3 linked regions of the Schizosaccharomyces pombe genome follow. The protein of the gene in region 3 binds, or shares a complex with, the protein of the main gene of each other region. Each region holds a gene or a part of one and is shown on either strand. Other genes may lie near its edges.

Region 1 (8,060 bases), on a different chromosome or scaffold from region 3:
ATAACAGGTATGGGAAAAAATATTTTTGTTTAGATTTTAAATGCACATCGTTCACCGTTTATTGAAAAAGCAAGTTTTAAAATTAAAACGTCAATACCTTTTTGTTTGTAATTAGAAAAAAAATATAAATCATATAATGAATGAAGTTTAGTAAGTTTCAACTTGTTCGCGAAATAAAACGACGCACCTCACATTTTCTATCAAGGCTGCACACTACAAAGCGATAAAAATAGCAGTATTCAATTCCTGCTAATTTTATATTATAATATCAATAAAATAAAAGAAAATTATGAAAAAAACTATCGAGTTATTTGTTTTTTTTTTGCATATAAAACAACATTAATCCAACTCAAATACCGTACTATGATACAATACGATAAAATGGATAAGGTATACTGAAGTGCCATTTTAAATGCTTACTTATACGTATTCATTTTACAAGTCTTTCTTTCCCGTATACAGCTTTTCAGTATGAATCGTCAAAGACCGTTCCAGCAGATGAATGATTTGATGAAGCGGGGACTTCCTAAAGGAAAATATGCTTTTACAGGAACTGGTTTGTTGTTAGCTCTTGGCCTTGCAGGATTTGCTGTGCAGACTTCTCTTTTTAACGTTGATGGTGGTCACCGAGCTATTAAGTATAGCAGGATTGGAGGAATTAAAAACCTTATATATCCTGAAGGAACCCACTTCTTGATTCCTTGGATCGAAACGGCCATTGATTACGATGTTCGTGCTAAACCACGAAATATATCTTCTCTAACCGGAACGAAAGGTAGGTTACAAGAATTAAAACGTTGAGCGTACATAACTAAAGGTGACTGTAAGAAACATTCATTTGGTTTTTATACCTACTGTGAATTAAGCTTTTAGTTGCAAAGTGATGAATTGTGTTTATGGATTCTACTCTTCTCGAATAGCTAAGCTTTGAGGGGTTTTTGTTGGTTGTATTACTAGAAATATGTTAACCATTTTTCTTTAGATTTACAAATGGTGAACATTAATTGTCGTGTTTTGTCTCGTCCCGATGTTCATGCTTTGCCAAAAATTTATCGTACTTTAGGTGGTGATTATGATGAACGTGTTTTGCCCTCTATTGTTAATGAAGTCTTAAAAAGCGTTGTAGCTCAATTTAATGCAAGCCAGTTGATCACCCAGCGTGAACGTGTATCTAGGTTGGTTCGCGAGAATTTAATGAAGAGAGCAGCCCGATTCAATATTTTGCTTGATGATGTCTCACTTACTCATGGTATGACTAACATTAGTCAAGCGTTTGTACCTTAAAATACTAACTGCATCCAATAGTTCAATTCTCTCCTGAATTTACAGCCGCTGTAGAGGCCAAGCAAATTGCCCAGCAAGATGCTCAAAGAGGTATGGTTCAGCTCTTCGTACAAATTCAATATTAACAATAATTTTTTAGCTACTTTCTATGTCGATCGTGCTCGAATGGAAAAACAGGGCTTTATTGTTCGTGCTCAAGGTGAAGGTAGAGCAGCGCAACTAATTGGTGAAGCTATTAAAAATAAGCCTGGTTTCATCGAGTTAAGAAAGCTTGAAACTGCTCGTGAAATTGCAAACATTCTTTCAAAGAGCAATAACAAGGTCATGCTTAATGCCAGCACATTACTTTTAGATGATATTAAATGAAGTCTAATGTAGGAATTGTCATTTTATTAATAAACAAATTTAACTTTTTGATACAAAATTCTCTTTGAAAACCATAATATTCGCTGATTTCTTCAATTTCTGTTTAAAAAAACAAAAACAAAAACAAAATCAAACAGTGAAGTAGCTCCAACTATTAATCTCAAATAAATATTTTCATTTCTTTGACTTTTTGGTATTACCGCTAGATCCAAAAACCATCTTTAAACGACTCACACTTATAGGAGCAACAATTTCACCGTCTTTAAGGTTTTCAAGATAAGCAGCTTCTTTTGATGACTTGGGAAGTTTTTTCATGAAGTAGGCGATTGATTCCCTTGCCGCTTTCCCAACTTTTCCAGTTCCAGGCATGACTTTTACCTTCTGGTTAAATTTAGTCATAGCATTGTATGGGGCAAATGTCGGAACAGCGTTTATCACAGTATCCTGCTGTTGAGGATTAGGGGTTAAAGAATCAATTGCAAAAAATATTTCTTCGAATAAACTCCTCGGCATCTCTTGTCTTTGAAAACTTTCAACCTTCGCATGCTTTTTTTCGTCTCTCTGTTCAGTAGACAAACCTTTTTCATTCTCAGCTTCACTGTTACGACTTTGGTCTTCAATTACTTCTGCACTAATGGGCTCGGAGACGCCATCTTCTTCAATCTCTGATTCGGCAGTGGGTGTTTGAACGTTTGATGAATCATTAGAAGGAATTTGAGACGAAATTTCCATTTCTCGAGCCGCATGCTTCTTCTTAGCCTTTTTTTGTTTTAAAATTGCCAAAATAGTTTGTGGGTCTGTAGCATCCTCTATTGAAATAGGTGCTTTAAGAGATTCCTCCAAAGCAGTTTGCCTTCTAGCGCGACGTGCTTCACGCCTTTCTTTGGCAGATACTTTCTTAGCTGTTATAACTTTAGAACCTTTTTTACCACGCTTTTCGCTGACAATATGGATGTCTGAACCAGTGGTATCAGGAGTACTTTGATTGTTGGTGTCCTCATTGTAACTGACTTCAGACACAACATCTTGAATGTTATCTTCAGAAGTTACCGAAGTACCTTCCATTTTAAGTTCCGACACCTTTCCTTGAGTTTCAACAACCTCCATTTCTAACCTTCTAGCTTTGCGACGCTCAGAACTTTTTTCATCTAACTGCCATAATATTCCATATCCCATAATGAGGACAGTAGGAGGTAAATAGTTTTTTTTGGCCCGAATAGCAAAACTTCCTGTTGGAAGAATTTCACCTGTTGGAGCAAGTTTCGATACCTCATCAATTCGAACCCACCATGCACTGATTACGGTCTTTGAATCCCATGCTTTAGATGAAGCCAAAGCCAAGGATCCAGCTTGTTGTAGAGTATTAGGGGGAATAGGATCATGAGGATTTTTGTTTTTTACAATAATTATCGAAGACTTTGGCAAATCTGCACAAACAAAGATATCACCTGTGTTGCAATACTTTTGGAAAAGTAATTCATTTTGCTGGGCATCACGGCCTCCCAGAACTAGATAACCTTCCGAAGAAATAAACCAATGAAACTTTTCAAAAAAGAATGTCTTTCTACCAAGGAGAATACGTTGTGTATCTGCAGTAGTAGAGCGCTTCAAATCCTGTTCAATCTTGCGTTGGGTGCTTTTCAGGGCTTTTGAGGCTGCCTCCGCAGTCTTTGTTTCTTTAATTAAAGCTTCTCGACGTAATTCATACTGTTTACGCGCATTTGCAAAGGCGCCAAGAGATAAATCCAATTCAACGGCAATAAACTTTGACGAAACTTTTCCTTCCTTCACTTTATTATCATCATCAGAATCATCCAAATCATCATCGCTGGTTTCTGAACTTTCATCAGAATTATCTACAGACTCTGGATTAGGAAGAAAAACGGTAACGGCGTTTTTTATAAGTTTAAGGGGAATTTGAATAGCAGCAGCTACCGGACTTCTTCTTTTTTGAGATTGAATTAACTTTTCAATATCTAACCAATCCATTCCTTGGTTCAACAGAGAGTTAATGTATGAGATAATAGCCTCAACAAGTTCAGGGTTCATCTCAATTGCCTGAGCCCTCAACGCACAAGTAGCTTGGGCATCTTGTAAACTTTGAAGTTTTCGTGCTTGATCCTCTTTAGCCGATTCAAGCCTTCGCTCAGCTGTCGCTAGGCGATCATGTGCTCGTTTTTTTAGCTTTTGTGCTTCGATAGAAGAGAAAAACTCGTCAACGCATTCGTTATAGGTTGGAAACTCCATGCACTTTCTGTTTGCCTGAACGAGCTGTAAAGGCTGAAAAGGGTGAAAATCTTCGTATAATGTAGTACATTCTTCAGGGTGTTGAGGATCAGCAGCATTTGTTAGTGCTTGCTCCAGTGAAAATATATAACCCTTTACTGGGGGCTTATTAACTGCAGCTAATATGGAGTCGGCTTCTTGAAAAGCAGCTAATAAATCGTTTTTCTTGGTTTCGTCTGCACAGAGCTGGCAAGCAGGGAATAGTGGATCTAATTTTGAACGCCGAAGACAGTGCTCTATAAGTGCATTACCATATTCACCTAATCTTATAGTCAATGCTTTTCTAAGAGAAACTGGTTTGGGTACTTTAATCGGCTTTGTAGAAGAGGATAGTTGTTGGTCAGGTAAAGGTTCGTTAATAGAAGTAGGAGAAGCATAAGCAGTGCTTATTTCATCCAAAAGGATATTTAATCGTTCAGCTGTCATATGAGGAATAGTAGACTGAGATTTATTGTCATTAACGAGATTATTTTTGTCTAAATTGTACTTTTGCCCTACGGCATAAACTTGGTCTTTATCGAAGGTGACCACTCGTAAAAGAGACAGAATCTTGTAATGGCCGTCTAATAGTAAAACATTTCCAGCAGCGAAAAATTCACAAACCAGATAGTACGTCCAATCGGGGTCTTGATCATTCGCACCACCTCCAAATGTGAAAACGAGTACTCGATCAGTACCCAACTGAGAGACACCAGTTAACCTTCTAGATTTTATATGTTTTCGTAGCTTCGTTACAAACCCAGACAAAGGGGCATTTTCTCGATCAAATTTTGTTAAATGAGCACGAAACCCACTTTCAATAACAATAGAATATTTTGCATCCTTTAACGGGTTAGTAAAAAAATATTTATTACTTTCTACACATACTTGTTTACCAAACTTCAACAAGAAGGTACGCGCATTTAGATCATAAAAGTTATTCAAGCGACACCCAACCACTTGTTCTCGTAATTCCGCAGCAATCGCAGCAATATCTAAAGCGGAAAATCTTTGCTTCATTTACGTCTATAACACCTATCTAAATGAATTTCTGCGTTACAACAAAATGAAGTATAGGCTCTAGTTAGAATGTAAACATGTGTATAACGTAAGTGAAACTGAAGCACTAACAAAGCGCAATGATATCCGCAATATGTAATAAGGAAAATTATAGCACACCATTGCACCATAAAACGGTGTACATTAGCAGCATTAAAATTCTTAGCGCAAATTTGGATTGTTCTCTCAAATTCATTATTTCTTTCCCGACGATGATTCTTTAATCGTACATTTATAGTCGTACATGACACTGATTATAAAGATAAAAAATAGTTAACTAATGATAAACTTATAAAAAACTTTGACACCTAATATGTCAAACTGGTGTGACCAACCCAATAAGTAAAACCAGAAAGTCAAGAGTTATCGTTGCTGAATCTAATCAAGTGAGCCGAAAGTTGATTAATCATAATTTCTGATTACCCCGTATCTCATTTTTTCAACGACATCCAGAAACTCTTAATTGAAAAAGATGGCTCTAAATGTTTACCAAATAACGAGTACTAAAGTCGAATACAATAGCCTTTTAAACAGTATAATGCAGTTTAATGGAGCATCGGTAATGGCGTTTGATATTTTCAACGAGTAAATAATAATGGAAATTTGGCGTACCCACAAACTTTGTGCATTAACATATTGATTTGTTCATATCTGAGAATTTTAAGTGATCCAATTTTTGAAAGAGTTTGAGTTGGGATTTTTAAGGTAAATCGATTATTGGCTTGCTTTGGTTGTTCTCAGAAATTCGACAATGGTGAAAAACACTGTTAAACACGTCGACTCTTCCAAGCATTTAGAGAAAGTTGCATCCTTAATCAAAGAAGGAAAAGGTAATGACTTTTAATTTTCTTTCCTTGACCATACTAATGCGATTTTATCGAAAATAGTAAAGAAAATATGTGTTATGGTTGGTGCAGGGATCAGCACTGCAGCAGGAATCCCTGATTTTCGAAGCCCTGAGACTGGAATTTACAATAATTTACAAAGATTTAATCTTCCTTACGCAGAAGCTGTTTTTGATCTATCTTATTTTCGAAAAAATCCGCGTCCATTCTACGAATTGGCTCACGAATTGATGCCTGAAAAGTATAGACCAACTTATACTCATTATTTTATACGCCTTTTACATGATAAAAGGTTACTACAAAAATGTTATACCCAAAATATTGATACCTTGGAGCGTTTGGCAGGTGTGCCTGACAAAGCTCTGATTGAAGCACATGGCTCTTTCCAATACAGCCGCTGTATTGAATGTTACGAAATGGTAAGGATTGTTTTTGAAAAAGTTAAAGTGAAAAAGCAGAAATTGGTTTTACTGACGGAAAACAAAGGCGGAAACGGAGTATGTTAGAGCATGTATTATGCAAAAACAGGTCCCTAAATGCAACAGTTGCAAAGGTCTCATCAAACCAATGATTGTGTTTTATGGCGAGGGATTACCAATGCGTTTCTTCGAGCACATGGAAAAGGACACAAAAGTCTGTGATATGGCACTGGTAATTGGAACAAGTTTACTTGTTCATCCATTCGCGGATTTGCCTGAAATAGTGCCAAATAAATGTCAACGAGTTTTGATTAATCGAGAACCAGCTGGCGACTTTGGGGAGAGAAAAAAGGATATCATGATATTGGGGGATTGTGATTCCCAAGTACGTGCGTTATGTAAACTATTAGGATGGTCTGATGAATTGGAAAAGTTGATTGATACGAGTGTTGAAACGCTGACAGAAGAAATATCTTTACTTTCTGTTGACTCTACAATAGAAAAGAATGCCTCTGAACAAAAGAAAGACGATAACTCGGTCAATCCTTTCACTAAAATAGAGGAGAAGAAAAAAGACGAGGTGACGCTGTTAGTTTCTGATGATGAATAGTTCAGTTATTCGGGAAATTTTCTATATTGTCATGATTAAAACTAGGAGATCCCTATATTTATTATACTAAGAAAACGGAAATTCACGATTCGGTTTGATGAATATTTGAATCTACACATACGATTCGTTTTCTTTTAAACAAGTTTAAATACTTTTTTTTATTTCAGCAATTTTATAATATTTCCTTCCAGGCGTCCTTTTGATTGCCTCTTAACCATGAATCATATTGCTCTCTTTATGAGTTGTATGCTGGGTTAAACTAATGCGAAAAGGATAACAAAAAGGGGGTTCTGTATACGATCTCGATCAAACTCATGAAGATGCCCTCGCATTTTCGTGAAAATAACTTGCATTTTTTTTAAAATTGGCGTCCATCTATATACGCAATTTGGGTTATGAGAAAGTTGCGCTAGAATAATTGATAATGGTTTCAAATTTACTGCACTGTAATCTAATACAATCTTTGTCGAAACCTTTTTTCTGTTCAGTTTGGAACATATAGTTCTGAAATGGGAGATTATTCATTTTCATTTAATAAAACTTTGAATTATCCAAGAATTGGAAATAGGAATAATTAATCAAATTGTTCTTTTTGTAGTTTCATTCAAGAATAATGCTTCCTTTGAAAAACTAAAGCGTTTTCTACGAATTGTATATTGTAACAGGGGACGGTGTATAAACCAGTTAGTCCATCATCATAACCAGTTCTGATTTGAATTTTGTTCTTGTGGTCATTATTGTTCATAAAATGAACTAGAGATGTAAAGACATAATTCATATTACAGAAAACAAGTATCTAAGCGCTTGAACAATTATCAGTTAATTTTAGAACAATTATTAAATTTATATCTATTTTATCTGCATATATCTATGTACCTTTGGGTAACTTATGAGTTGTACGAATTACTGACTACATGGCTGTCACCTCCTGTTCGGTTTGCTAAGAATTTACCGATTCTAACGCTTCCTTCTACCTAGCTATACAAGATTCATGAATTTGATCTATATGAATGCTTAGCAAATAAATAATTGTTCGAAAGCCAGATATATGATTTATAATTAACGTTTTTAGATTTGACGTCAATAGGGATCTTAGGTCTCAATTTCTTTGTTTTGCCATCTTTTTATACAGGCGTGTTAAGCGGTCTGGAAAGAATTTAAAAATAAAAGGGAATGATAAATCGTGTTATCGTTGCAATTGATCAATTCTTA
Region 2 (9,822 bases), on a different chromosome or scaffold from region 3:
ATTTTTTGTCAAGCGAGAGAGTCAGGATATTAATAATGTTAGACAGAGTCTTGGAGTTTACGGTAGGTCGTTTATGACTTCCAGTCGTATGGACAAACCTTCAATGAGCAATAAACCTCGTGAACAAATGTACGGGCTAGGAAACATGACGGCGGTTCAAGAGCCCATACCGGAAAATTCTTTGAAAACAGTAACTTTGGATCAAGCACAAACCGCTGCTAGTACGGTTACGGGATTGCATCCTATATATATGGATTTTCAAGCTACCTCTCCTCTCGACTATCGTGTACTAGATAGTATGCTTCCCTTCTTCACTGGAATTTATGGAAACCCACATAGTCGAACACACGCCTATGGCTGGGAAGCAGAAAAAGCTGTTGAAAATGCACGCCAAGAGATAGCATCTGTAATCAATGCTGATCCAAGAGAAATTATTTTTACATCTGGCGCAACTGAATCAAATAATGCTATTTTGAAAGGTGTTGCCCGATTTTACAAAAGTAGGAAAAAGCATCTTGTTTCCGTTCAAACTGAGCACAAATGCGTTTTGGATTCCTTACGTGCTCTCCAAGAAGAAGGGTTTGAAGTTACTTTTCTACCTGTTCAAACTAATGGCCTTATTAATTTGGATGAATTACGTGACGCCATACGTCCTGATACTGTTTGTGTAAGTGTAATGGCCGTCAATAATGAAATTGGTGTTTGTCAACCACTAGAAGAGATTGGCAAAATTTGTCGACAGAAGAAGGTTTTCTTTCACTCAGATGCTGCTCAAGGATATGGAAAAATTGACATTGACGTCAATCGAATGAACATTGATTTAATGTCTATTTCTGCTCACAAAATTTACGGCCCTAAAGGAATTGGAGCCGCTTATGTTAGAAGACGTCCTCGTGTACGTTTAGAGCCGCTTATTAGTGGTGGAGGTCAGGAACGAGGTTTACGAAGTGGTACTCTTGCTCCATCTCAAGTAGTGGGATTTGGTACTGCGGCCCGTATATGCAAAGAAGAAATGAAGTATGATTATGCACATATTTCCAAACTATCCCAAAGATTAATAGATGGCCTTCTTGCAATCCCATATACATCTTTGAATGGCGACCCTAAATCTAGATATCCAGGTTGTGTCAACATTTCTTTCAATTATGTAGAAGGGGAATCGTTGCTTATGGGTTTGAAAAATATCGCGCTGTCTTCTGGTTCTGCCTGCACATCCGCATCTCTAGAACCGTCTTACGTTTTGCGTGCAATTGGTCAGAGTGATGAAAATGCTCACAGTTCTATTCGTTTTGGTATTGGCCGATTTACAACTGAAGCCGAAATTGATTATGCTATTGAAAATGTGAGTAGACAAGTTTCTTTCTTAAGGAATATGAGCCCGTTATGGGATTTGGTTCAGGAGGGTGTCGATCTTAGTACTATAGAATGGAGTCAACATTGAAGAACGCTTAATTTTACCTATTGAAGATTTTATTTTTTTTTTATATGAACGTATGGAAGTTGAAACTTTTTACCAGCTGTTATATAGTTACAAAAAACTAAATTGTAAATTATCTCATACTTGATTTGAATCTATACGAAATAAATACACGGTTATGATATAAAAAAAAACATAAATTTGATAAAAATAAAATATAGTACCATTTAAAAAATATGTACCCCCAAGTCGTCAAAATTATAGCCAAAAAATGATATGAATCCAAAGCATAAACAAAAAATGTTAAGGAATATAATTAAAATGTAAAACACTCATTGAGAACGGGTACTTGCCTGACGATAAATATCGAAAAGCTCTTCTGTGTAGCGAAAACATTCATCTCCCCATATGGACATGGCGTTGGCTGGATCGCTGCCATTGTACATTTTACAATTAGCAAAGATTCGAAGAACTTCTCGATACAATTCATCCACTTCCGTGATGTTACCCTCTTTGATCATATTCTTCAATGTTCGTAAGTCTTGAGGTTTATAAACTAAAGAATCGTAATCTGGTGCCTCTTTACGATTTACAGGATGACTAAAAGGTGCTCCAAACCTGTGATTAGAAATATTGTCGAGCATAGGAAGCATTGCACTTTGGAACTTTTTCAAAGACTGCTTTTCTTCATTAGACAGGGCAGCGCGCTTTTTTGGAGTCTTAGTTGTGGGTGCAACTTCGGGTTCGATATTTGCAGGAGCTGCAATCTCTGGTGTTTTCTTTCTAGAACGAAGAGATTTATTAGCAGCCTCTACAGGAGCTTCAGTTTTCGCTTTTTTTGCTTCCTTGTCAGCTTCTTCAAGTGCGAGTTGATCCTCCACAGCTTTTGCCTTTGCCTTTGCAACCTCTTCATATAAGCTTTCCAGTTTTTTTTCACATCCCTGTATCTCTTCAGCCAAATCCTTTAGGACATCGTTCCGCAGCCTTTTTCGTAGATTTTTTCGAGCATCATTATCGTTTTGAGAAACTTGGTTGGAGAGAAGCTTTGAATCAGATTTATTGCTATCATGCATCCATTCCTCGACCAGATCCTTTAATTGATCTTGTTCAATTGGCTCTAAAAGCAGGCTGCTTTCTGCCGTTCGATTGAAGAGTTCTTCGTTGGGAGCATTAGGATTTTCTTGCTGAATATCAAGATATTGTAAAACAGCAACCTCTTGAGCAATATTCATTATGCACTATACTTGCATCATCTCCACTAATTTTACAAGACAAGACACGGTAGAAAGGGAGTCCTTCTTTTCGTAGTGTACTACCTCCTTCATACGGCGTGCGCGTAAAACCTAAATTCTCGTTAGAGATTGCTGTAAAACTTCATTAACGCAACAATGCTAAATAATTTACGTTAGTTGCCAACCTTACACATGTTGCATATCTTAATAATTCAATGTCTTAGTTTGAAGACTTCTATAGAATTGCAGTTTGTCAAATTGTAATTGATTCCTATGATACCAGTGAATTATGTTCTATAAACCTTTTGCGTAAAATCTTTAAATTTTGCTGGATAGTCACATCATACTAACCAAGTTTCCAACGTTTTCTGTAACTAACGCAATATTGAACAGATCGCAATAAAAATCATCGTATTTTTACTGCATCCTTAAATTAGATAAGGTATTTTGTAGATGACACCGTTTGATAAGTTACTTTAAATAAGTTTTGCGATTGCAATTAAAGAATCTGATATGTAAGCTACGCAGTTTGGTATCTGATTTAAGGATACGTAGAACTGCGGTGAGTTTTCCTTGTGATCTATTATATTACAATACACAGGTTGTATAAGTAGCAACTGAGTATAGGTATTGTATTAACTGGGTTATAATGTTACCTATCACTAATATAGCTCATAACTGAACTGAGGAACGAGGTTCAGCAGTAGCTCTATTTATAGTATTCAGATAATATTGATCTTAATAGATTATCATTAAGATCAATCTCCATATCGTATCATACATGGTACGATATATAATTAGAACATGTGACATATAGTGATACGCAACGTAGTGTATCATAGCGTAGTGTAGTATTGCTGACATGATATACAGTTTAGCAAGCTACTTAATTCCTTTTCCGTCATCACAAATAGTTAAGCTTTAAAGTATCAGTTTATAAAGCATTGCATACCACAATGAATTGCTTAAAACAACGTTATCAATAACCTATGATAACGTCGGACAGACTGATATCTGATTTCCTTTGTAATTTTTCATTCTTTGTGCCAAATTGATCCGCTGCATTCCATTGCATTGTAAACTAAAAAAAAAGATGAAAAAAAAATCTACGGATTTATACGGGTAAGTAAAGATGTGAGAAGATGGTAACAAAATGGGTTTGCACACAAAATAGGGTCTTTCTCATTGGATATATGCAGAACACCTATGTTATTACAAATCCATACTTTTCCATATTTTGGGGAAGTTTGTTTAAAAATACAACGATTCTTTTTTCTTTATGTATGTGCCGAAATGCTAATCTCTTTATAGCCGTAAAAATCCCGGGATGCAATCGATGTCAGGATCGTTTTCATCCTTGCAAATTGCGTTGGATGAGTCCAGCTCAAATTTTAGTACGATATATGAGCCTCCAGACTTGTCTGGTTTAGACGCAGAAATGATTGTTATTGTGAAGAATTTGCAAAAGCGTGACATCGTAACGAAATGTCGAGCTTTACAAGATTTAATTCAGTGGAATGACCCATCACAGTTTGACAATGAACAGTTTCTAAATGCTTTGGCAGTTTTATTTCCTCGACTATCTATAGAAGTGGAACGACATGTGCGGTTAAAAATCTTTGTCTTCATGTCTGTTCTATCTTCTGCGCTTCAAAAAAAACTTGCACCATGGCTCAAATTCTATATCACACCTTGGGTTATGGGTTTTTTTGATTCAGATCGTGCAGTCTCTGTATCAGCAAAAGACTCTTTTAAAAATTTACTCTCCGAAGAAAAGTGGCCCCATGTTTGGCTGAAGTTTGGATCTACTATCGCACCTATAGTCACTGATGTTTTTTTACATGAAGACAAAGAATCGTTAACGGATTTGCGTTTTTTTTCAAATGAAGAAGCTGAATCGAAAGTTACCAGAGTTAAATCTAGCTGTCTTCTGACCCTTTCTTTTCTTTTCAAACAGACTGCCGATTTAGAAAATCTAGAGACAGATAAGAAGATAGATAAGCAAACCTTTAAGTCATCTCTTTACGAGAACTTGTCTACACTTTTCAAGTCTGACGAATTTTGGTCTTTGGTTTCCTCACCTCAGGATGGTGTCACAGTGAGCCTGAGCGATTTATTGCTCATTATCTTGAAGTATGATAAACCTTTTGTTACCCAATATAAAGAGAAATATTTTAAACGTGTTTCACGAATGATTTCACGACTAACTAGTTTGACCTGCGTCCCTATGCTTAGGCTTCTTAGTAACATGATTTCTAATTTCCCCAACGAGGTTCACCAATTTGCAAATGATTCAAAACGTCCTCTTTCAAAGTTGTTCTCAAATTTGATCACCAAGCGAATCAGCCTTCCTAATTCTGGGTTTTACACATCCTTGCTGAATTTGTTTAAAAGTATAGGCGCTATGCAGCTCGTTCCTTCCATTGAAAGTGTAGACGAATTGTGTGATGCATTCTTAGAAACTGCAAATCAAGAACAACGTTTCCTATCTACTGAAGTTTATGACTGTTTACTCAATTTCTTGTCATTTGTTTATACCGATTCTTCCGATCCTCAAATTAAGGATCATGTCCGTGACCGTTTAAGGACTATATTTACCAGGTATTTTAAAGGTGAATTTGTTCTACGCTGTTCAACGTCTGATTTCGATCATTGCTTGCAAAGTGTATTCGATAAAAATTCAGATTTCGCCTCGCTCTGGAACGAAGTGTTATTTGGTTTCTTTAATGATGAATCTATGGACATTGAAACTATCCCATTTGATTCTTTATCACGTAACTTAAGCTTAACCGTTCAAACAGTTTTATATCTTAAAAATAGAAATTTTCAAACTGGAAATGAAGTCATGTCGATTCTGGGACCTTGTTTGTCATTTTTAATGAAATTGTCTACCCACAAAAATGAACGTATTGCATGTTTATCGGCATCCCAGTTAATAACTGTTTGTCACATATTCAGTGATACTACATTGATTAAACCCGTTAAGGAACTTTTTCAAAAATATTTGGTGAATGATTTGCCTTCTTCGATTTTAAAGCTTGGGCCTCAATCTCCAGCCTTTACTTTGCTTCGTGATATTCTTTTACTTCTTAAAGATTACGCGGATCTCTCTGAGCCTTGGGAAAATGTTGCTAATCAATTCACAGTGTCCTTTGATGAACTGGAAAATATTAGGGTTTTAAATAGTCTTCCCTCTTTGTTTGCTGATGGAAAACTAAGGGGGAAAATTTCCTTGGTAAAAACATTAGTAGAATACTATGATACAGCAGTATTTGCTATTATGCAAAACCCAGGAAACGATTGGGATATGATAAGAGCGTGCATTGGGTCTAAGGAAATCCTTGTTCCAGAAGAAACGATTAAAAATATTTTGTTTACGACCTTGGAGTATTTTCTTACGAATGATTGGGTTGATAATCATTTGATTATTTTGTGCGCATCATTGCATTCTCTGAAAGCTCATCTTCCAACAATATTTGATGAAAATAAATCCTTGTATTCTTTGCTTCCTGTGATCCTTTTCAGTAAACCAGAAGATGATGGCCATGTTGCAGCTCATTTTGAAAGTATCTTCTCCCTATTGAAAGAGAAAGCATTAGAAGATTCCGGTTTTTCTCTTAAACTATGTTCAGAAGTGCAGGAATGGTCATTGAATAAGGTTTTGAATGGTTCTATAAATGAAAAGTTAGCTGCTGATAAGTGTGTTCTTGTTTTCAATTCGTTTGGAAAACTCCCTTCAAACTTCTTTACGTTTCCTGCCTCTTTTTGGGATGCAAAAATATCCTCTTGCATTCCTTTTTTCTCTAACAAGTTGTTCATTGACCAAGATTTTATTCTCGGATTTCTAGATTTAGTTGCCTCAGAGCCCATAAATGTTGATATGACAGACGTAGGTACTCAATTTGTGCATATATTCCATGCCTCCTTATACACTTTATATTATGTTGAAACTACCGGATGCGACGGTGATGCTTTATTTAACCTTACGTTTGCTTATTTGTTAATACGAATTTATTTACAAAATGGCATACAAAGCATAATTGATGTTCCCATCCGAGATGCTGGAATATTTGTGGAATCTTTTGAATGCTACTTCAAAGGTGAAGTGGTTAAATTTATGCGCGATAAGGATGCTTTGACAGTATTAAATGAGCTTTTAATTGATGATATAGATGGGAAAATGCCTGTATTGTTTAAAAGATTTAAAAATTTGTCATCTGCAGAGAATACTACTTCTTTTTCTATATTTGCCGCTCAAGGGTTAACAGATTTTTTGATTGTTGTCTCAAATTTGTTAGAAATGGATGAGAAACACGTTGATGTTGTTTTAGGAAAGCTGGGCTTGAGCTCTTCAAAATCCCCTATTTTCGTATCTTCTATTTTAGAAGGATTGAAGCCATTAGAAGTAGATTCTGAAATTATTCAACGAATTCGTTTTAAAGCAGTAAACGATCTAACAGGTAAACTTCACTCTGCTAATGAAGTTTCTAAGTCTCTGTTGATTTTGAATGCGGCTACCACTCAACAGATTACTGAGAAGCCCCTTCTTCCTATCACAAGATGCAGACTTTTTTTGGAAAATATTACCAATTGGTGTTCTGAAAGTGGAATTAAATCTTTAGAGCTATTACCTGTTTGTTGCTTTCTTCGTTTCATGTACTATTTTTTACCCACTGTTTTTTCGTTATCTGGTTCTTATTGGAATAGCATTTTCGATTATATTAAATATGCTATGAAGATGTCTGTAGTGGATGCCCCAATAGTAAAATCGTTTGAACTATTTGCTCTTCGACTTTATAATGCTTTATCCAAGAACTATGAAATGAACTCTGATATTAAAGATTGTATTGTTGAGTCTAATGAATCCATGAATTATCTTTTGTTGAAACGATTTCTCTTTACTCACGAATCTACCCTGAGAAACTCGGTAACCGCACGTATGTGTAACCAATATTTGGTGAAGCTTTTAGAAAACTGTCCAGGGAAGGTTGTTCGCAGTTTTCAATATCAAGAGTTTTTTCCATCGTTGTGTAACTCGAATGATTTGCAAATGGAGTCTGTTTGTATGAAATTTTTACGCGAAAAATTAAGTCATGAGCTTAAGGAACTTACTGTTTACTACATGGTTGAAAGTGATTACGAACCTGATGTTTCATTATGCCCAGAACTTCTATCTCTCGCTATTGATTTTCCTGGAGATCCGTTTGTAATGGTAAGCAAAATGGAGAAATATGAACATGCGTTGCGTGTGTATCTTTTAGTTTGGGATCTTATCTTTTATCATTTTGAGGAAACCACTTACAATATAAAGCTGTCAATTATTAACCAACTTCATGCTATGGATTTATTACGTCCTTTGCTTAATACTTTAGTTGAAATTCTTAATTTATCATATGACAGGCCAATTAACGTTGATAAGTATCCCAAAATTGATTACAACCTTATGGATTATTCCTCTGCTACAGATCGTATTCGATGTCTTGCAATTCATATCTATTATCAATGTCTTAGACATCTTTCTTCTTCTGTTAGAAGTTATTGGTCTGAAGTTAAGAATAGAGCCTTCACTTCTACTGTTGAATCGTTTACAGGGTACAATGTTTCCCCGCTGTTGATTTCTGCTTCCTTAGACGATGTGGAGAGATCAATTGAATCCGAAGATTTTCAATCTGTTGGTGATGTTAATGTGAAAGTTAACAGAAACACCAGAGAGATATCTTTCATCTATAATGTTGATGAGCACAAACTGGAAATGGCCATCAAAATTCCCTCTGTATATCCCCTACAAAATGTTCAAGTAGAAGGAATAGAAAGAGTCGGTGTTAACGAACGACAATGGCGCTCATGGATTTTGGCTTCTCAAAGTATCTTATCATCGCAAAATGGCTCTATCACTGATGCGTTACTAGTTTTGAAGAAGAATATATCCATGCACTTTGAAGGCGTTGAAGAATGTGCTATTTGCTATTCTGTCTTGTCTGTGGAGCGTACTTTGCCAAATAAACGATGTGGAACATGTAGGCACAAATTCCACGCATCATGTTTATACAAATGGTTCAAATCTTCAAATTCAAGCCGCTGTCCACTGTGCCGCAGCAGCTTTACATTTGTTTAGGCACTTTAAAAAAAAATTGGTATTTTAATGGTGTGATATCTTTGGTTCTTTTTTTTTATGATACATTATAATGAAGTTTAGTGTTATTTAGTTACTAGTGAATGAATGTGTCTGTTTTGTTTTGATCGTTAAAAGTTTATACGAGTTTAGTGTTTGTTTGTATGCAAAGTCGATTACCTGATTTGAGTTTTATTGTAGCTAAAGTCGAAAATTTAAATGTCCATTGCTTGAATAGAATGTGAAAATGAGAACTTTAATAACGACTGAAGTAAACAAATAATTTCTCAATAAAATTCCATATAACTGATTTAAAAAATGTAAGTTATTTAAGATATTTAAAGAAACTTATAGTATAACAAGGTTTTTGTTATTGTTTGTGTTTGGTAGATTAGTGTACGCAATGATTCGAGTGTTTACTTGCTAGGAGCTATAAGAATAAACAGCTAGTAAAAAACCGATATCATTTGTTATGACACAACAACTACACCTGGTTTGTTTTAAACTTTTATTCAAGACGAATCCTACTAGAACAACGCACATTAATAACAGTAAAATGAGCAACGTGGAACAACCGTTTATGCAAGGAATAGATGATGGGTGGAATTTAAAAAACTACCTAAACATTCAATCCACATCTCTGTAAGCATTGCAAACTTTAATTACTAGAGAGAATATACTAACCTGCAAAGTTGTTTAGATAAACTTTGCAATATCTATACTCAAGGTCAAGATGAGAATGAGGATGCAAAAGAATTGCAAGCCATCAAAATCAAAATAGAGTGGTGTAAAGATACAAGCGTTTTGCTTTCCTCTATATGTGTGATGCTCCTTGATTCAATCCACGATTTTCTAGTACAACAAGGAAAGATCACTAAAGAATCAATAAGCAAAAGAGATTATAGTCATGAAATTACAATTTTTAACTTCAAATACGCTCAACAAGAGATGCAAAATGAAAAGCTTTATCATTTTGCGAAGCTTCTTGAACCCGCACTTGAGAGCTTGAAGGTGACAAACAATCATATCACCCATGCAACAATTGTCGGTCAGGTTTCTGG
Region 3 (7,349 bases):
TGAAAGTGATTGCAATCAGGATTCAAAAAGACTAAAAACGAAAACCGCAAAATAATTTTCGAAAATGAAATGCAAGATCCTAAATTAGTTATCAACAAGTCAGAAAAAAGAAATAGCTAAATAAATCAAAATTGACTTGTCAGAGAAATACAGGTAGGCAAAAATAAGCAAGATATAATCTGCCAAATAATTTTACCAAATAACGTTAATAGCAAAGCAACAGAATATGTTAAATATTTCTTAAGGACAACAGGGAGATGAGAAAAGTAGTTGAAGAAGGAAAATATGAGGAGAACTGTTGAGATGCCAAACTTTTTTTTTTTAAAGGGGATAAAAAAAGAGTGTAATCAAACAAAAAGCCACCGCGAAGAACAACAAGGAAAGAAGGTCGGTAAAATAGACAGAGAAAGAATAAAAACAATCGATTGAACCTGCACACAGTAATAGCACAGATAAACAAGAAAAGACACTTGAAAAACTTAATGTACTTCAGAAGAGTCTATTTCAAAAAAAGCCTGGAAAATAAATTTCAAAAAGATAAACGCCATCCACACTTTAAATAGAATTAGACACTAACTAGGAAATAAGAAACGTATTGTCGAAACAATGTACGTCAAGAGGAGAATCGGAAATGTAAGGAAAGGAGAAAGAATTAACAGTCAAATAATAACTGAAACAAGGCACGTGAAGGACAAAAAACGAATCCTATAACATATATACTAAATGTCTGATAGATTGGTTAAGGATGTCAATTTTATACATCCAAACTAAAAAATATAAAATAACAGACAAACGCTTTGCGGTTTTCCTATTTCACAAAGGAAAAACCAAAATTGAATGATAAATGAAGTGTATCCTATGCGAATTGTAAAGAACAAATCAGCTTTTAACACTTAAAAACGAATTTTAGTGCAATAATCTTCAATGATCTGAAACTCTGCAGTGAACTCGTATTTTACAATTCGAATAAATGAAGTTATTGCAACTTAGAAGTAAAAATCTTCTAGTGTAAAAGATTCTCTTTCCTTTCTAAGCTTACTAACTGGTCAAGTGGCGAAAAGCCGGATATCGACGATTAATCGTTTTTGAATGTTTTCACTGACTTCTAGTAAAAACCTTGATACTTTTAATTACTCAAACTTTCTGAATCCGTCAAAACTCTTTCTTAACAAATAATTTCAATCTCACTCATGTATATGGAGGATTGTCAGTTTAATGCATGTCGTTGTCGCGACTAAACAAATTTTATAATAACCTAATATTTCCAGGTAACACAGGTAACGATGCTTAAGGCACCATGTGGAAATTCTGAATCGACATTACATACTTTTGTGGGGGTAGGGTCAAACTACGGTTATCTGCCGAACAACATGTCCATGAGCTCGCAGATATCGTCCACTCGTTGTGGTCGATAGTGGAACATCCCAGTTTTAGCTCTTCCAGTAGATTTAACGGGGCGTTGCCTCCACGAAGAGACTTAACATCGCTAGCACACTACTAGCATAGTAGCAGTTCACCTTGAAAATAACTACACATACAAATATGCTACTATTTCGATAACGACATTTTAGGTTAACACTTGGATCTCCGGGTTGGCTTCTATCTATATGCCGATCGTTATGTGAATCGTGTGAAAATGCACATTTCTACACTTGCAAAAACTGACGAAAAGTTATAACTAAACACAACAGTCAACATAATAGTATGCTGTAGTAAACTAGACTTGGGCGTTCAAGAATTTCTTACTCATAAAAAAAAATTCGTTCTATTCAAAGACTAAATTTAAGAATCCCTACAAACTCATGTTAAGTAGCAGAGAAGTCATTATTATCAATCAATCAATCACCTTTTACAAAAATGACTTCAACAAAAAGGCAAGTCCATGTTCATACATAAATTTTGTTCATCATCGGATATAGAATTCATGCATTAAGGTGGTAGTTTCTATGCATACAAATCATCAGCACCATCATTTCCGAAGCTTGGTCCATTAGTATTACTATCAGCCGAATCAAACTGGAATCCTGTAAGACCACGCGAGGTAAGGAGTTGATGGGCATAAGCTTCATAACGACGGACTTCTGCATCACTGACAGAGCGGCGTGCCATTTTCATGGCCTCCTCCACATGATGACGCTGAACTTGAGACACAGATGCATCTTCGTCCATAACAACATCGTCAGCAGGAGCCTCTCCAGTCTCATTTTCGCGCTTGATGTCTTCTTCAATGCTGTCCTTGATGGCCAATTTAACAGCTCTTTGTACAACAAACTCCAAATCAGCACCTGAGAAGCCATGGGTCGCCTTAGCAACTGCACGCAAGTCAACATCTTCAGCAACAGGCGTATGTCTCAATTGAGTTTGCAAAATGCTGAAGCGAGCTTCTTCATCGGGTAAGGGAACGTAGATTAATTGATCCAAACGACCGGGACGCATCAAGGCAGGATCAATCTGATCGGGACGGTTGGTAGCACCAATAACAAATACATTCTTCTTGCTGTTAACACCATCCATCTCAGTAAGAAGTTGGTTGACAACACGATCACCACCACCAGAGTCACCAGCAGAAGCGCCACGTGCTTTGGCAATAGAATCCAACTCATCTAAGAAAACGACACAAGGAGCTGCAGCACGAGCCTTGTCAAATATATCACGAACGTTTGATTCAGACTCACCAAACCACATGCTAAGCAATTCGGGTCCCTTTACTGAAATAAAGTTGGCAGAACATTCGTTGGCAATGGCTTTCGCCAACAATGTCTTACCTGTACCAGGGGGTCCGAAAAACAAAACACCTTTGCTGGGAGTGACACCAAAACGCAAAAACTTTTCGGCATACATAACAGGCATCTGGACAGTTTCACGTAATTCACGCTTAACTTCTTCCAATCCACCAATGTCTTCCCAACGAACATTGGGAACTTCCACAACGGTTTCACGCAAAGCAGAAGGATTGCTGGAACCAAGGGCAAATCTGAAGTTATCCATTGTAACACCTAGAGAGTCTAAAACCTCGGCATCAATCTCATCTTCATCCAAGTCAATCATATCCATCTTTTCACGAATCTGTTGCATGGCAGCTTCAGAACACAAAGATGCCAAATCAGATCCAACGTAACCATGAGTCTCAGCAGCAATTTGCTCAAGATCAACGTCATCAGCAAGCTTCATGTTCTTTGTGTGAATACGAAGGATCTCTAAGCGGCCGGTGGGATCAGGAATACCAACATCGACTTCACGATCAAAACGACCAAAACGTCTCAATGCCGGATCGATAGAGTTAGGACGATTGGTAGCGGCCATTACTACAACATTACTACGAGCTTTCATACCATCCATTAAAGTCAATAATTGTGAAACAACACGTCGTTCAACTTCACCATTCGTTTTTTCACGCTTGGGAGCAATAGAATCTATCTCATCAATAAAAATAATAGCAGGGGAATTTTTTTCGGCTTCTTCAAACGCCTTCCGCAAATTAGACTCAGATTCGCCTGCCATTTTTGACATAATCTCAGGACCATTAATCAGGAAAAAGAAAGCGCCCGTTTCATTAGCAACTGCGCGAGCCATTAAAGTTTTACCGGTACCTGGAGGACCATACATAAGGATACCACGAGGTGGCTTGATACCTATACTTTTGAATAATTGGGGATGACGGAGGGGAAGCTCGACAAGCTCACGGATTTGAGCCATCTGGCGACGACAACCACCGATATCGTCATAGCCAACTTCTGCCAAGCTACTTTCTTCATCCTCACGATTAATGGGTTCACCTTCCCAATGAATAATTGTATCCTGGCTAACAATGCCAAATTCATCAGGAGCAACATCAACAACTTTAAATTCAACTTGACGCATACTACCCCGTACAACGAAAAGATCGCCCTTTCGAATAGGACGATACGCTTCAACAAAGTACGGCTTAAGGTAAACATCAAAGAGAGAACCAGTAAGACCCTCGACGGTATCAGCCAAGGGTAGTACTGAAATTCGTTCAGCATATTTAATATCTGGACAAGGATTGATCGTTACAATATCGCCTAACCTTACGCGCAAGTTGTTACGAACAACACGATTAATTCTTGCTACGCCATCTTCCATTTCTTCGTCAGTTAAAACAATCAAGACAGTGTCTTTCCGTCTCTTTCCTTTAACGACAACTGTGTCACCACGGAAAAGTTGTAAAGTCTCCATGGTATTGGACGACAATGTGATTACTGAGTTATCATCGTTGGTAGCGTCATCGACCACTAGAGAATTTGGTTTTCTTTTTTTACGAAGAATAGCTGTTGCTGTGTCTTCTGCACTATATGTACTGAGCTTGTTAGCATCGAATTCTAAAAAAAAGTTACTGCTACATCGAAAACATACTCTTTTGGAGGGTTTTCACCCTGAAGGTGTTCCACTTCTGGTTTCTTATCGGTCATGGTGGATGGTGCGTTCATTCGACCATGCACCATGCGCTTATATATGAGCATTCAATTTATAAAGATACATGAAATTATTGCTCAAAAAGGTAAATTATTTCTAAATATTCTTCTAATTGTTTTTTTTCTGTATAATAACATCTGTAAGCAGTTGAGTCTTTCTGCTACATAGCTGCCTCGCAAGGTCGTTACTACCAATTTCCATTATTTTCGCTAGATTGTTTTTATTTAACGCATCTCTAGAAAACACGTATTGTATAAATTGCCAAATTTAATTTATCTATTCTTCTTTTACCAAGGAAACGTCGTTGCTATTAGAATGTTCCAAGAACATCAATAGTAAACAATTTTCTAGTAAAATCTACGAGGAAATTTTAAACTACAGAAATGCAAAAATTCGAACGACCGCCCTATATCTAAATGTGCTTAAAACTTCATTACTAAGCATAAAATAAACATTTTGAGTGTTATCCGTTTTCAATTGAAATGAAACTTGGTTGGCGGTTTAGTAAGCTAAATATTTTAGTTTGAAACCCTTGCAATATTATTTATCATTATAACTATAAACATCAATTTTCTAGAAAGCGTTTTGTAAAAGTGTTTAGCAGTAAGTTAAGGCTAATCAAATATTCTTCTTTTATGGTTATTGATTGTATTGCACAATCAATAATAAAATTAGTTCAATCTTTAATAAGGAATTTAATGTGTTTTAAATATCCATACTTACTGTTCGTTATATGGCTTATGGTGTGGAATCCTTTATGATACACGCTGTCAGGCTCATTGTACAAACTGCTGAATCCCTACCTTAGTGGCCATAAAAATTAATCAATTGTAAAATGGAGGAGGGAATTTTATTAAAAAAATACGTTGAAAGTATGTTAAAAATAAAAAACTAGCTCTAACTGTTGCAGGTAGCGATAAAGACATACGTTACATGGCACTCAGCGATTTAGCTGCCCGACTTAATGATGCAAACCATTTGAAAAATCTCAAATTGGAGAGCTTTCCTGATACACTCGATGTTTTATTACAAGCACTGAGTGATGCTTCGCCAGAGGTTCAACAAGAGGCAGTTCGTTGTGTTGCTATAATTTCTAGCAAAATTCCACAAGATAAGTTAAAATCTACTGTTGAAAATTTGCTTTCTGGAGTTGCTGGGAAGAAATCGAAAAATTACTTGTCTGCTCTCAGTTTGCTTTTGTCCAACTCGAACGTCCAACCTTTCGTAAACAAATTTTATACTTCGACTGTATTCCCTTCATTTTTACAAATTTTAAAACAGTACAACGTTGCTCAAGAGGAATTTTTTGCAATTCTCTGTGTGGTCTGTGATTCTCTAGAAATATACCATTCTAATCTTTCGACTCTTCTACCTAACAATTTTGAATTGTGTATAGACGTATTCCAAAAATGTACGACACAATGCCAAAGAGAATTAATTATTAAAAAGGCTTGCTATCTCCTTTCTGACGTATCACTTTATGGGCCTCGCTTTGCATACAAATATATAATTGAGGTGCTTGATCGAGGTTTGGGACCCTCGACCCAAATGTCCGAGGTAAATATTTCTATTAAATTGCTTAACGAAATACTTCTGTCATCTAAAAAAGAAAAAGATTCATCTACATCATTCATCTCAACAGCAGTTGCTGACTACACCAATAAAATATTATCGTTATTAAAGAAGGAAGAAGCCCCAGATGAGTTAACGCAAAAATTGTTGGAGGTTTTAGGATTGTTATTAGAGTACCAACAAGTGAATATTTTGAAAATTTGGCCAGAATTACATGGTCTCTTAATCTCTAAAATTTCTTATGATCCCAATTTAATATCTGATACTAATGATGAAGATGATATCGCTGACTTTCTCGAAGAAATGAGTGACTATAGCAGCATTTACGAAGATGAAGAAGATGTATCTTGGATTGTTAGAAGAGAATCTTTGAAAGTCGTTTTGTCTGTAATTTTGTCACGTTTAGAGTATTTGCCTATAGTCCTTCAAGCACTAGGGACTTCTGTGGTTAGTAAGTTAAACGATAGAGAGGAATCTGTTTGCTTGATTTCTATCGAAGTATTAAAACAAGCATTCTTGCATGTTCCTCGTTGGATAGAGGTGTATGCAACTTCTAATGATAGAAAGCGTCGTTATGAAGGGTTACCATCGGACCGTTCAGCAATATCGGATACTTCTATTTATTTAGTGTCTGTAATTGGAAAGCATGTCTCTAAGTTATCTGATAAAACTCCACTTTCCATTGTATCTGAATTACTGAACCTAGTTACAGTGATTTTTTCTTCAAGAGATCTTGGTGTTCAGTCCGAATTTTCAAATCTGAGCTCAATTATATACCGTTTTCCTGATTTTTCAACCCTTGATATAAAAATTAAGCTGAATTTAGTTCGCTTAATATCAGCTATCATTTCTTGCGGCTGCGAAGAGATAGAAAACATGGAATCTAAAATGTCAACTATATTAAGTTTAGCGGTACAAAACAACTACCCACAACTTTCATACGAGGCCTTAATTACTGAGCTGTCATTTTGCAAATATATTCATAAAAAGCAACCCACTAACGTCTCAACAGATTTTTCCACAATGATTGATTCTTCACTTCAACTTTTGGAATCTAAAATTTCTGACTTGAAAGTTCGTTTAGCTTTGATAGATCTGGTCTCTCAATACGTAATTCTTTTCTATGAGCCTGATTTTGATTCTATATTCCTGAGACGTGTCTTAATTATTTTATGTAAAAAATTACAGGAAGAGCCCACTAGAAGTGCTGCTGCAAGAGCGTTATGTGATATTTTCATGTCCGTTACAGATATTACTAAGATAGAAAATGGAACAAAAATTTATGAAGAAATACTCCAGGATTGCTGTAGGCATATCGACAAAAGTGGCAATGAATTTACGAC

What was found.
Region 1: cdc48 (region 3) and rqc2 share a complex: the UniProt entries of both Schizosaccharomyces pombe proteins name them as parts of the ribosome quality control complex.
Region 2: cdc48 (region 3) and rkr1 share a complex: the UniProt entries of both Schizosaccharomyces pombe proteins name them as parts of the ribosome quality control complex.

The regions. Positions count from the first base shown.
Region 1 is NC_003421.2:1,323,373-1,331,432, forward strand, and holds rqc2 (ribosome quality control complex subunit Rqc2), read right to left. Parts: upstream 5,002-8,060; 5' UTR 4,936-5,001; coding exon 4,804-4,935; intron 4,759-4,803; coding exon 1,825-4,758; 3' UTR 1,685-1,824; downstream 1-1,684. Other genes in the region: prohibitin Phb2, read left to right, coding at 472-775, 983-1,249, 1,306-1,374, 1,424-1,650; histone deacetylase, Sirtuin family, NAD-dependent Hst2, read left to right, coding at 5,726-5,804, 5,862-6,238, 6,306-6,848. UniProt on the Schizosaccharomyces pombe protein: Key component of the ribosome quality control complex (RQC), a ribosome-associated complex that mediates the extraction of incompletely synthesized nascent chains from stalled ribosomes as well as their ubiquitin-mediated proteasomal degradation.
Region 2 is NC_003423.3:2,422,825-2,432,646, forward strand, and holds rkr1 (ubiquitin-protein ligase E3), read left to right. Parts: upstream 1-3,697; 5' UTR 3,698-3,742; coding exon 3,743-3,771; intron 3,772-3,960; coding exon 3,961-8,764; 3' UTR 8,765-8,898; downstream 8,899-9,822. Other genes in the region: cysteine desulfurase Nfs1, read left to right, coding at 1-1,441; bdc1 (bromodomain-containing protein 1), read right to left, coding at 1,750-2,649; SPOM_SPBC21D10.08C (uncharacterized protein), read left to right, coding at 9,318-9,403, 9,454-9,822. UniProt on the Schizosaccharomyces pombe protein: E3 ubiquitin-protein ligase component of the ribosome quality control complex (RQC), a ribosome-associated complex that mediates ubiquitination and extraction of incompletely synthesized nascent chains for proteasomal degradation.
Region 3 is NC_003424.3:1,303,538-1,310,886, reverse strand, and holds cdc48 (AAA family ATPase involved in ubiquitin-mediated protein degradation Cdc48), read right to left. Parts: upstream 4,443-7,349; 5' UTR 4,431-4,442; coding exon 4,375-4,430; intron 4,319-4,374; coding exon 1,945-4,318; 3' UTR 1,621-1,944; downstream 1-1,620. Other genes in the region: knd1 (cullin-associated NEDD8-dissociated protein 1), read left to right, coding at 5,270-5,306, 5,345-7,349. UniProt on the Schizosaccharomyces pombe protein: ATP-dependent chaperone which probably uses the energy provided by ATP hydrolysis to generate mechanical force to unfold substrate proteins, disassemble protein complexes, and disaggregate protein aggregates.